3 linked regions of the Caenorhabditis elegans genome follow. The protein of the gene in region 3 purifies or fractionates together with the protein of the main gene of each other region. This does not show direct contact. Each region holds a gene or a part of one and is shown on either strand. Other genes may lie near its edges.

Region 1 (3,711 bases), on a different chromosome or scaffold from region 3:
TTTCCAGGGTCATTGCAAAATACGATGTTGTTGCGTGACGTGGCATGAAGCCATTAGAACAATACAAACGCAGAATAGAAAATAATGGGGAAAGAATCCTAAAATGGGTAGCGAACAAAGTGATGAAAGAGAAACATGACAAAGCGTGGAACAAAAACCGAAAATTTGGAGAATTGAAAGAAAAATGTGAAGAACGAATCGTTTTGAATGCAAATGAGCATTTGAAAAACGAAAACCTCGGAGAAAGGGAGACCTCACACATCTGCGGATGAGTCATTGTGGAGCCAGAGGAAACGCGTCGTGGGCACTGACCCCAGAAATTGCAAAGTGTACGGACGGTTAATTTAGAACATCTGAGGATGTTAGTGTCTAAAGGCCATCCACACACATACACATACACACGTAGTGACTCCCCCTCCTTCTTCAAGTCATTGATATCTGTCGTAAAAGCCCATAAAACTAATGCATTTGAGGTGAGATGGGTTAGGTTGGGGGAAAAGATGGATGAGAAGGGCAAGTTCCTTTTTTTTTTGTTTTCCTTCAGGAGTGAGAAGTGGAAGAATCCGGATGCGATTCAATTAGTTTGTCACCACTCCACCTCGGCAAATGTGAGATGCGTATTGTTGGTGGTGTAACTTTTTGAGATTGAGATGCTAGCACGAAAAGAAGATAGATGCTTTTCAAAAATAATGAGAATCCACGATGAATTGCAAAAGCAAGATGTTTGTCATTAGATTTGAGAAATGGTCAATTACATTTTTCTAAGACACTGGGGGTGAAAAACATTTATTAAGATATACATATTTTTTTTTGAAAGGAAGTTTAAACTTGCAAACACTGCTTGTGTATTACATGCACTCATTTTTAAAGTAATTTTTAAGTTGTAAAAATAAAAAAGTGTGGAAATTTTTTTATATTTTAAAGCTTACAATTAGAAAATAAGCATTTCTGAGCCAAACGAGGAAAATTCCACATCACGTTCAATTTAAACGGAGAAATCAATGAGCATTTTCATTAATTTTAAAATGAAAGTATGTAATACACAAGTACCAAAATAAGAAATTAACTCATTGTAAAAAAGTCTCAATAAGATATTGCAATTGCACGACAACAAAGTTCACTTTCTCGGAAACCGATTTCTTGTGTTTGACTGTTTGACCTTCACGGAAACCAAGAATCCATTAAGAATCTCAAAAAGAAACTAATTCTATAACGTAGCGTATTGATCACATCAAAACAACTCCTCCCATATCATATCCAATGAACAATAAAAAACGAGTTAAAATGAGAAACAAGGAAAGAGAAGACTGTGCACATAAAATTAAAGGTTATGCGAGTGTGCGAATATGAGGTGACTCAACGTCCTCCAAACACACACGCATACACACACCGAGAACCGTTCAAAGAGAACGAGAGAGTGTGTGAGGCGCGGAGGCATCAGACACTGGCGAGTGATGGGGCGCGTTTGCTACGGGCGAGTCAAGTATTGATCGCTGAGACTCCGCAGTGGTCTTGGTGCTGCGCGCTCGTTTGGAATACCCTGTGTTGTCCGCTTGTGTGTCGAGAGGGTGTTTCTGTCATATCATACTCTCCTGCGCGTCCGCTTTCTTTGCTTTTTCTAGTGTAAAACACTTCATCAAATGTGTTCTTCTCTGACATTTTTATCTAATTTTTTTTGTTGCAAAAAAGATGATGAAAAATTTCATTTCCTTCTCTATAGTGTTTTGATGTTTTTTTTGCCATTATTGATTTTTCAGATGTCACGGTTTGGGGTATTTATCATAGGAGTTCTCTTCTTTATGTCAGTTTGTGATGTGCTGAGAAGTAAGTTGTGACACATCATAAATGAAATAAACAACCCAAGTAGCTGTTTCAGCGGAAGAGCATTCACACGATGAGAACCACGTACATGAAAAGGACGATTTTGAAGCAGAATTTGGAGACGAAACAGATTCACAAAGCTTCAGGTATTATTTTTTTAAAGGTCGAATTGTGAAATTAAAATCAATTTTATTTTCAAAAAAGTGAAAATCTAACGCATGACCGTTTTCAATTTTTCAAGCTTTCTAAGGTGCTCAATAAAATTTCTAAGTTCATGATAATTAGTTTCCAACAGGTTAACTGAAATTTTTCAAACAAGTGCTACAAAACTTAATTTTTTCAGTCAAGGAACCGAAGAAGATCATATTGAAGTCCGGGAGCAATCCTCATTTGTTAAGCCTACAGCCGTCCACCACGCCAAGGATCTTCCAACATTGAGAATTTTCTACTGGTAATATTTATACATATATAGGTTCTACTAGAAATTATGCATAATTTTTCAGTGTTTCATGTGGTTATAAGCAAGCTTTCGACCAGTTCACCACTTTTGCCAAAGAAAAGTATCCAAATATGCCAATTGAAGGAGCCAACTTTGCACCGGTTCTTTGGAAAGCTTATGTTGCTCAGGTACTGTTCAATTTGAAGTGACTTGGATTATTTATAAAATGTATTTTTAGGCTCTCAGTTTCGTCAAAATGGCAGTTCTCGTGCTGGTGCTAGGTGGAATAAATCCATTTGAGAGATTTGGTCTTGGATACCCACAGATTCTGCAGCACGCACACGGAAACAAGATGTCGTCCTGTATGCTGGTGTTCATGCTCGGCAACCTTGTTGAACAAAGTCTCATTTCTACTGGAGCATTCGAAGTTTACCTTGGCAATGAACAAATCTGGAGTAAAATCGAGTCAGGTCGTGTACCATCCCCTCAGGAATTCATGCAACTTATCGATGCTCAACTTGCGGTGCTCGGAAAAGCTCCTGTCAACACAGAATCATTTGGAGAGTTCCAACAGACTGTCTAAAACGCTATGTTTTCAATTTGACACCGTGTTACCATAATTATTTACAATGTATTCTTGCTGCTCAAACTGATTCATTCCCTCACTCGTCATCCGACGCCTTATTTTATTAAGTTAAATTAACTTTTTATTTGTTTCTCAACGTGTGTAAATTATTTGCAGTCATAAAAATTCTCGCCACTTTTATTTCACCTCTAATGATTTTCTATTCAAATAATGTTACGTTTTGTTTTTTTTTAAATAATTATTTACCATTAAGGAATCAAATTTTTGAAACCAGTTTTTTCATTTGAAATTTTTCAGAAATAATATTTTTTACTAGAGTATTAGTTTTGTTTATTTAAAAACAAATCACAAAGTAAAAAATTCGTTTAAGGAATGTTTCGCGCAAATGAATGCAACATTTACAAAAGCAATCTCCTTGGATAATTGCTTAGAATATTTTAAGAGTTCTTCGTCGTCTACTGAAGTTTCCATTTTTGATATCAAGCTGTGTACTTGAGAGATTGCGTTTCCACGATACCAGTTGTCCGCACTCGGGCGGAAGAGCACATGACGACTCTGCGGATCTCCAAGGATACCATGCGGGTTTATGAAACATTTTTCAAATCTGAAAAATCTAATATGTGAAAATTGAAGTTTTCATAAGCATGCATACCTTTGCTGTCTTTTCTAACAGTTCAAACTGTTTCTGGGGCTCAGTCAAGTACTCAGAAATGTTTTCAAAAGTCTGAGCCTTATTAATGTGTTGTTGTATTCTCGGGAAATACTCATCAAGAACTCTGTCCATTAACTCTTTTAAGCTGAAATTATTTCTACTTGGTAGAAAACGCAAATTGCAGTGCTTACTCATAAGGAAGAATTCTGCTTT
Region 2 (4,762 bases), on a different chromosome or scaffold from region 3:
AATTCATAGCAACTCATAAAACTACAGTACCAAAAGACTTTTTAAGGCGGGACCCAAAAAATTTTGAAAAAATTTTTTTTTCAATTTTTTCAAAACTCCATAACTTTGCCAATTTTCAAGATTCTGAGCCTAGATTAGTTTTAAATAGTACCCTCAATATTTTTCCATAAAATATAACATAGGAATTTACAAGAACCCGTAAAACTACAGTACCCCATAACTTTCCGTGTAGAGACCCAAAAAATTTTTGTTTTTTTTTTTGAAAAATTGGAAAAAAATTTTCAAAATTTTTTTTTTCAAACTTAAATTAATTTTACTGATTTTGTTGAAGTTTTTCGCTATATTAAAATTGATTTTAAAAAATCTGCACCCATTGCTTAGGTGCAAAATGTATCCCTCTACCCCTTTTCAGGTACACTAAGAATTCAGCGAATTCAGATTTGCCAAACATCAAAACAATGGAATTTTTCATTGTTTCTCACGTGTAGCAACTGATAAAAACTGATAAAAGATATCAAAATTGATCCTATGACGTCATCATGTCTTATGACGAATTCCACCCCCCGCTGACTGTGAGAAAAGTATTTAAAAACTTGATTTTTCAAGTTTTTCCCTAAAAACTTTTTACACTTTCTCTATGTAAAAGTTCAAAAAAACATGCGAAAAACTACAGTAACCTTATTATTTTTGATATTTTTTATTCAAATTTCTGAAATTCTGACTCTACCTATCAATTATGGTGCATCGTTGAACTCTGTACACTCGGATGACCTGAGTGCTGAGGATTATCAAGTTTTGAGGAAAAATGAGACAAAAATTGAGTAAGTTCATTGATTTTTTGCTAATAGAAAGGTTTTTGAAATTTTGGAAAAATTAAAAAAAAAATTTTTTTGAAAAAAACTTGTTTAAAAATAATAATTCCGCCAAATTATCGATTTTTTTGGTCGAAATCTCAAGTTTTAAATGTTTTCTTTAATTTTATTGAATTCAGCGTCATTGATTACCCCTATCCCAAAATTTTGGGCCTTCTAGCTCAATTTTCAAGAATTGGCTGAGTAGCGACCCATTGCGATACGGAGTTTGGTCAGTTTTAGTGCAAATGGCTAAAAATTTAGGATTCTGGGTTTCCAAGTATGGCAAATTTAATGATAATGTTAGTTTTTCAAAACTATGACTCCGTATCGCAGTTCTGAGTCGCTACTCAGCCAAATTTCAAAATTTTGAGATTTTGAGCTAGAGCTCTGAAAACCTATAGATAAGGGTAATCAATCACGCTGAATCCAAAAATAACTTCTAAAACCAAAAATTTTAATTTTTTCCAGAAGAATCCACAGAATTCAGCAATTTTTCAAAGCGGAGCACCACGAATCCACGTGGCGAGACTCGATTTGCAGTGCATTCCACTCGTTTTCACTGTTCCCGCCAAACTGCTTTGCGGCTCCGCCAAACGACAAATAAATCGATATTATTGATTTATGAAATGACATGATTTTTTTCTACGACGCACAATAAATTTTTGTGATTTTCTGATTTTTTTTGATTTTTTTTTGGGTCTCGTCACGAAAAGTTGTGGGGTACTGTAGTTTTTACCGGAATTTCTAAAATTTTTATTTTATCTTTTACGTGGGTAGTTTTCGCACATTTTAAGCCAAAAATGAACAAAATATCTCAAAAACTAAAAAAGTTACAAAATTTTTAAAAAATTGAATAAAAACGTAAAAACTCAAAAATTGCCAAAAAACATTCCACGTCGGGAACCACGTCGTTTGATTTTCGAAAGTCGATAAATCGATATTGAAAAATTTATTTCACAATATTCAAGATGAAATTGTGGTCGATTTTATTGGTGACCATATCGATTTTTGGCATCTGCCACGTGGAACCATATGAGCTAAGTAAGTACGGGGGTTTGACGCCAAGATACGGTTCGATTCTACAAAATTATCGGATTTTTCGGGAAATTATCGATTTTCTTGAGAAATTATCGATTTTCTGGCGGAAATATCGATTTTCTTGCTAAATTATCGATTTTCTTGCGAAATTATCGATTTTTTCGCGAAATTATCGATTTTTTCGGGAAATATTGATTTTCGGGAAATTATCGATTTTCTGGCGAAATTACCGATTTTTCGCGAAATATTGATTTTTTCGCGAAATATTGATTTTCGGGAAATTATCGATTTTTTCGCGAAATTATCGATTTTTCGCGGAATTATTGATTTTCTGGCGAAATTATCGATTTTCTTGCGAAAATATCGATTTTCTTGCGAAATTATCGATTTTTGGCGAAATTATTGATTTTCTTGCCAAATTATCGATTTTTCGCGAAATTATTGATTTTCTTGCGAAATTATCGATTTTCTCACGTGTCGAAAAGTTGCCCTTATTTTTTATTTCTGTCAAGAATGCAATTTCAGGATTTAATATAGGAAGAGGCAGATTTTCTTGCGAAATTATCGATTTTTTCGCGAAATTATCGATTTTTTTCCCGAAATTATTGATTTTCCAGGAAATTATCGATTTTTAAAAAATTATCGATTTTTAAAAAATTATCGATTTTTAAAAAATTATCGATTTTTAAAAAATTATCGATTTTTTGCGTAATTACTGATTTTCGATAAATTATCGATTTTTTCGCGAAATTATCGATTTTTGATATTTTCGATGAACACGTGGAGTTTGTTATTTATTTCTTTTTGAAAATGACGTGGAGAGGACGGTAAAAAAAAGCCACGTGGCCATTGCGATTGCGAAATTATCGATTTTTGATAATTTATCGATTATTCGCGAAATTATCGATTTTTCAACAAAAATTTATTGATTTTTTCCAGGTTTCGTCGATTGGCCTACACCCGCCCCGCCGACCTCAACAACTCCACCAGTGTAAGTCTATCCGTTGTCCCGTTAGTTTATCCCGATGACCGCTCTTTTTCAGATCCTCAACCAAACCACCACCTGCTGAACAGTTTAATTCGCTGACCGACATTCTCGACCTAATTCCAATCGAAGTGTAAGTTGTGAAAATTTGACATCGATAATTGCTCGGCGGCGAAAAATTGGTTTTTTTTTTTCGAAAAATCGATAATCTATGTTGATTTTATTGATTTTTTTGGTCGGATTTTTGAAGAAAAATCAATAATTTTTATTGATTTTTTGTTCAAAAAATCGATAACTTGCGTCATTTCTTTTATCGAAAATCAGTAATTTCGCAAAAAAATCGATAATTTCGCAAGAAAATCAATAATTTCGCAAGAAAATCGATAATTTCGCGAAAAAATCGATAATTTCGCAAGAAAATCGATAATTTCGCAAGAAAATCGATAATTTCGCAAGAAAATCGATAATTTTGCAAGAAAATCGATAATTTTGCAAGAAAATCGATAATTTCGCGAAAAAAATCGATAATTTCGCGAAATTATCGATTTTCTTGCGAAAAAATCAATAATTTCACGAAAAAGTCGATAATTTCGCGAAAAAAATCGATAATTTCGAAAGAAAATCGATAATTTCGCAAATTTTCTGTAATTTTTCAGCTGGCTTGTTGTACTTTTCCTGGAATCTGCGTTTGTTGGAGCATTTGGAGCATATTGCTACTGGAAAGTTCAACAATGGCGCGACGAGAAAATGGCAAGGGAAAAGGCTTGGGAAAGGCGTCTGGCACGAGTTTCTGAAGTTTCGGCTTCGAAAAATCGAAACGCTGGAGGTGTGGATCCTGCAAAAAGACCGAGAGAATCAGCCAAATGGCTGAAACATGTAAAGGAGGTGACGCTGAAACGGGGTGGAGTCGAGCTGCTGCCGATGGAGGATGTGATCGTGAAAAATAAAGAGGTAGAGATTTTTCCGAAAAAATTTGAAAATTTACGTGTCAAAAATCAAGGAAAAATCTTGAAAATGAACAAAGTTATGGGTTTTCGAAAAAAAAATTTTTTTTTGAAAATTTTTTTTGTAAAAAAATTTGTTTTTTCAGAAATTCAAAAAGCCACAAAATGAGCTTCGAGAAAATGAAGTGTGGGTGGAAAGACAAACGGGCCCTGATATTGATAAAGATTCGGACCCAAAGACGGAAAATGCATTGGATGAGCAGGATTATCAGCTGGAAGATGGATGGCACGGCAAGTCAGGTATGGTTTTAAAATCAGGTTTTAAGAAATTTTACTTTAAACATTGCAAGTTATTAAATTAAACATTAAACTCACAAAAAGATTGCGCTCATTTTAAGACTATATTCAATCGAATATCTTTAAAATTCGCAGAGTTATGTAGTTTTGAAAATAAAATTTGAAAATTTGAAATTTTTTTTTAAATTTTTATTTTCTTGAAAGCTCGAGCTAACTTTCAATTCAAAACCGATTTGGCGTGAATTTTCAGATTTAGCACGCCTAGAGCTTTCAAATAACACCCATCATGACTAGGTTTCGCCTGTTTTGGGTCCCCAAGTTTTCAAAGTGGACGGAGCTTAGTCAATATGGGTGTTAAATGGAAAGTCTTGACACGCTGAATTAAAAAATGAGCAAAAAATTGTAAAAATTTTTTATGTTTTCCAAAAATCTCAAAAAAAAATTTTTTTTTTTTTAATTTTTTTCTAAATTTTTAGACTTTTTTTGCACCAACTGAGAAATAATTAACAAATTCAAAATAATCACATTGAGACCTTTAAAATAAAACCCATCATGACTAGGTTCCGCACATTTTGGGTCCCGCCACGAAAATGCCGCCGGGAGTACTCTGGTTTTCGTGGTGGGACCCAAGAATTTGCAATTTT
Region 3 (4,484 bases):
TGGTGGAGAACGGCTTCTAGTGGGACTTCTGGATCGAGAGCGACGGCGTGGACTTCTTGAACGGCTGCGGTCACGGGTCTCATCCGTGCATTTGAGCTTTCTTCCGTTCAGGTCTTCACCTTGCAACTTGTTCATCGCATCACGCAAGTCGTCATGGGAAGTGAAGCATACGATTCTAAAAATAAAAACGATGAATTACATTTAAAAGAAGTGCATATCATACGCTTGGTTGACATTTCTCTTGTGCGCCTCGGAGTAGGTCGGCTCGATTCCCAGCTTGCGGATGTGGTCCTTGATGTCCTAAAATTCAGGTACAGGGTATTGATTGTTTGTGAAGTAGGGCCAGATTGATAGGAGGAAGAAGAATGCCATTGACTGAGGAAATTGATTGAGAGCAATTGAATTGCAAATTGTATTGGCAAATGGCACACCCACTGAGTTGCTGCTGTAGCATTCAAAATGTTCGTTTTGAAAAAATGAGTGACAGTTTTCAGTAAAATTTGGAACGGGGGTAGTATTTCGTTAGTTGTTCAATCACACTCAAACACGCAACTTGTGAATCGCTATGGCTCGCAGTCATGTATCTTACCTGCCAACTGTAACGAGTAGACAAATTATCGATCACCAAACGGAATCTAGTCGAGCACGGACGACTGTATCGGTTGGAAAACTGGCGCTCGCCGCCTTTTCTGAACGTTGGCTCACGTCCTCTGAAACCACTCCCACTTCTTTCCTCGTTGTACCCAACTTTACGCCGTGGAAACTCAAGAATGACTCTCTCTCCACAAAGCTCTTTCCCATTCAAATCGTGGACAGCGTCATCGGCATCGCGCTGGTCTTGAAAATCCTGAAATTATGACATATTCAAGATATTCTGACGAAAATATGTTATCTCTTACCACGAAACCAAATCCGTTCTTCATTATGACATCAGACAGCTTTCCATATCCGCGGAAGAAGTGCTCGACATCACGATCAGATGCTCTATTTGGCAAACGACCGATGTAGACACGAACCATGTTTAGAGGTCTGAAATAAGTGAAGAATGAGAAAAGTCAATTCAAAAGAGAGAAGAAATAAGAAAAGTCTGGAGAAATAAAAATTATTGTGGCCAGAGAGGAAGAGAATTTGGGCATTGCACATTAAATAGGAGGCAATATGTACATGCACATGCACGCGACGCGCTGAAATTAAGTCGATAATCAATAAAATGGGAGCACAGGACGATGCCACAGAGTTATAAAACGAGAAACGCGCAATGGTATCCCATTAATGCGTCAGCAGCGTTCTGACACGCACTTAGTGCTCTAAGCGTTGCGGTTGCGTCGCGGGTGCCCTCATTTGAAACTGATTTTCGCATTTTGTGCGGCATTTCTTCTTATTTTTAAAGTATTTCACTAATCCTGCATTGAATTTCGCCTGCGTAGGTGTTCAGGTTGATATGCTCTTAACTTTTCATCAGAATGCAAACTATAATCTTGTGGTTTTAGGATTTTATATGAAAATAAGTCGAATAAGCGCTTTAAGATGTTTTTTTTGTGATGAAAGGCATTGATTCACAGAATCTCAAATAAAGAATATCAAAGCAAAATGAGTCCATTGGCTAACCTGGATGTGAAAGCGTTAAGTGTTATATATTTACTTTAAAAAAAACTTCAAATTATTTTCAAGCTAGGAAACGATATTAGAACTTTAAAAAACGCAGAAAATCATCAAATTCGAAAGGAAGGAATTTTAGGATTACGCAAATGCAAGATCATTTTTTTCATATGTGGGTCAGAGTTTGAAACTAATTAGGAGAAAAACATTGCAACTAATTTAAGAAATGTAGGGCGCAGACGAGAAAAGAGTGGTTGTACGCAGAGAAAATGAGTGTGTTTTGAGTAAAACAGCTGCCCCGCTTATCGGCCAAGGTGCGCGTTGTTGTCATGGCTACATTGTCTGTGAGTGCGCTCTCAAACGCGCACATTTTGTGAATCGATAATCTTCTCGTCTTCAATATTATTTTTCTCCTCTGTGATACAGGCCATTCATTCATTCGCTTTCTTTTCAGCATGGCAGCTCGAATTTACATCGGTCGGTTGACTTCTCGTGTTTCTGAAAAGGACATTGAGCATTTCTTCCGTGGTTATGGCCAAATTCGCGACGTCCTACTCAAGAATGGTTTTGGATTTGTCGTAAGTTATAATTTCTAAAACCATTTCAGTTTCCTAATGTCATTTTTTTTCAGGAGTTCGACGACAAGCGTGACGCCGAAGACGCAGTTCATGATTTGAACGGAAAGGAGCTCGGTGGAGAGCGTGTCATATTGGATTATTCCAAACCACGAGGAGGCGGTGGCGACCGCGGTGGTTTCGGTGGTGGCGGTCGTGGAGGTGCACGAGTCAGCTCATACAGCGGTGGTGGCGGTGGAGGACGCGATAGATTCGATCGTTATGATCGTGGACCACCAAGAAGAGAAAGGTAATTGAATGAAGCGATAGTGGCAATAATAATAACCACTTACATTTTCAGTCGCTACGGTCGTCCATACAGCACTCGTCATCGCGTCGTCGTCGAGAATCTCTCATCTCGAATTTCTTGGCAGGTATGTAAAACGAAACGGAGATAGAAACTGTAATACATCTATTGAAACTTTATCTTGACAAAATACAACACGATCATCTCAATTTGTCAGTGGGAGGAAAACATCTTTCCTAATATTTTATATTTAAGCAGGAGAAGATTGTATGATAACTGGAGGATCTTGTTGTTGATGATGATTCTTGTGATTTGGTATCATGTGATCCCGAGCCTGTCTGATGATGGTCGGACCGCAGAACAAAGGGCGCAAAATGATTATTGGCTCTCCTTCTCCCGCGTAGTCTTGATGTTCTTGGTTCCTGTACTTTTTGGTCCTGCACGCTGGGATGTGATTTCGGGTTTTTGGTGTTCGCGTGGTTAGGCTGAGTGGTTCGGATGATCCCGCATCAAACATGTGCAAGGATTGCATATGGTAATCCCGATTGTGCGCTATTCACGCACATTTTTCACAACACCTTGGAAAGCCGTCAAATATCGACAGATGTAATTATGTAGCATCTTTATTGTGTTTTCAGGATCTCAAAGACCAAGTCCGCCGCCAAGGAGTTGAACCAACCTATGCCGAAGCTCATAAGAGACCAAATGAAGCGTAAGTTTGCAATTTGTAGATAGAAGATGAAAAATAACAAATCAATTTTCAGACTTCTCTGCTTCGCAACACCATCCGATCTTAAAAGATGCATTGAGAAATGCGATGGAATGGATTTGAATGGAAGAAAGATCAAGATGATCGACGACTCGCAAGCTGGACGCTCACGTTCTCGATCCAACAGTCGCTCTCGCAGCCGTTCTCGCAGTCGTGATCGTCGCCGCTCCCGCTCTCGCAGCTCGAGTCGCTCAAAGAGCCGTAGCCGTTCCCCACCAAAACGCTCTCGACGCGAATCGAAGTCCAAGTCTCGCAGCAGAAGCCGTTCTCGCAGCGCTGACAACAGGTATTGATATTATAAAAGTGATGATTTAAAAAACAAACTATTTTCAGAAAGTCTCGTTCGCCATCAAGATCTCCAAAGAAGGTCGATCGCTCTCCATCTCCACCACGCGGATCGCGTTCGCCTTCGGAAAAGGGATCCCCGAGACGTTCGAGAAGCGCATCTCCAATGGATAATGGAGACGGTGACAACTAAACTCGCTTCGGTTCCAAAACAAATGTTCCGTTATTTAATTAATCACTAAATTCAAATTTCCTTATTCCACTTCTGTTTCTCTTTTTACCCAAGCTGAATAAGCACAGTTCTCTGAACTTTTAAAATTTTTATTTGTTTATTTTATGGATCTCAAATGATAAATTTCGAGAAATTATGCACTTGTAATTATGGCTATAAGAATTATTAAAGCAGGAATGAATGTTAGAGAAGAAGAAGAACTCGTCGTAGTTTCAATATGAGATTCAACAGTGAGGCCTGTAATGAGATCAAACTGGAATTGCTGAACCATCGAATCCCAGAAGTTGTAATCAGATTGGAAAAGATCTGAAGTTCGAATTGTGTTAATGATTTTAAAGAGTTAACAGACGTTTATCAGTTGTTGGCTTTGGCCCGATAACTGTATGAGAAACTGATGAGTCGTATAAAGGCCAATTAAATTCCGAGCTTGAAGGATTTCTGAAAGTTTGGAAGCTACTGTAGGCTGCTATGCTGATACTTTTTCAGATACCCCGTCTTTATGAAATTTGTCAAGGATGTGATTAAAAATGCGGAGACTGTTCTATCATCGTCGTTAAATTCGAAATAATTGTCCTTGTAGACTCCCCAAATGTATGGGAATTCATGACAGTGATAAGTAGCCCGAACTGGAAAGTCTACATCAAACTCGGCTGGATTAAAATACGGAAAATGGTAAAGATAAAGATCAGGCGATACTTGAGATCTTGCACGAGCTTCTCGAAGAATAGGAATATCGAA

Evidence for each region.
Region 1: the proteins of rsp-1 (region 3) and selt-1.1 fractionate together in Caenorhabditis elegans (co-fractionation; one large-scale study listed by BioGRID). This does not show direct contact.
Region 2: the proteins of rsp-1 (region 3) and Y54F10BM.3 fractionate together in Caenorhabditis elegans (co-fractionation; one large-scale study listed by BioGRID). This does not show direct contact.

The regions. Positions count from the first base shown.
Region 1 is NC_003284.9:11,544,542-11,548,252, reverse strand, and holds selt-1.1 (Thioredoxin reductase-like selenoprotein T homolog selt-1.1), read left to right. Parts: upstream 1-1,757; coding exon 1,758-1,824; intron 1,825-1,867; coding exon 1,868-1,967; intron 1,968-2,164; coding exon 2,165-2,272; intron 2,273-2,324; coding exon 2,325-2,448; intron 2,449-2,498; coding exon 2,499-2,843; 3' UTR 2,844-3,162; downstream 3,163-3,711.
Region 2 is NC_003281.10:2,280,264-2,285,025, forward strand, and holds the start of Y54F10BM.3 (Tyrosine-protein phosphatase domain-containing protein), read left to right. Parts: upstream 1-1,761; 5' UTR 1,762-1,822; coding exon 1,823-1,895; intron 1,896-2,831; coding exon 2,832-2,883; intron 2,884-2,935; coding exon 2,936-3,010; intron 3,011-3,533; coding exon 3,534-3,828; intron 3,829-3,967; coding exon 3,968-4,121; intron 4,122-4,762. Other genes in the region: Y54F10BM.22 (Neuropeptide-Like Protein), read left to right, coding at 658-821, 1,323-1,458.
Region 3 is NC_003280.10:11,451,927-11,456,410, forward strand, and holds rsp-1 (putative splicing factor, arginine/serine-rich 1), read left to right. Parts: upstream 1-2,053; 5' UTR 2,054-2,054; coding exon 2,055-2,177; intron 2,178-2,230; coding exon 2,231-2,463; intron 2,464-2,514; coding exon 2,515-2,587; exon of another isoform or gene 2,588-2,715; coding exon of another isoform or gene 2,716-2,733; exon of another isoform or gene 2,734-2,992; coding exon of another isoform or gene 2,993-2,995; exon of another isoform or gene 2,996-3,098; coding exon 3,099-3,172; intron 3,173-3,224; coding exon 3,225-3,515; intron 3,516-3,562; coding exon 3,563-3,707; 3' UTR 3,708-3,879; downstream 3,880-4,484. Other genes in the region: rsp-2 (putative splicing factor, arginine/serine-rich 2), read right to left, coding at 1-175, 224-300, 590-847, 900-1,019. UniProt on the Caenorhabditis elegans protein: Plays a functionally redundant role in spermatogenesis and growth rate control.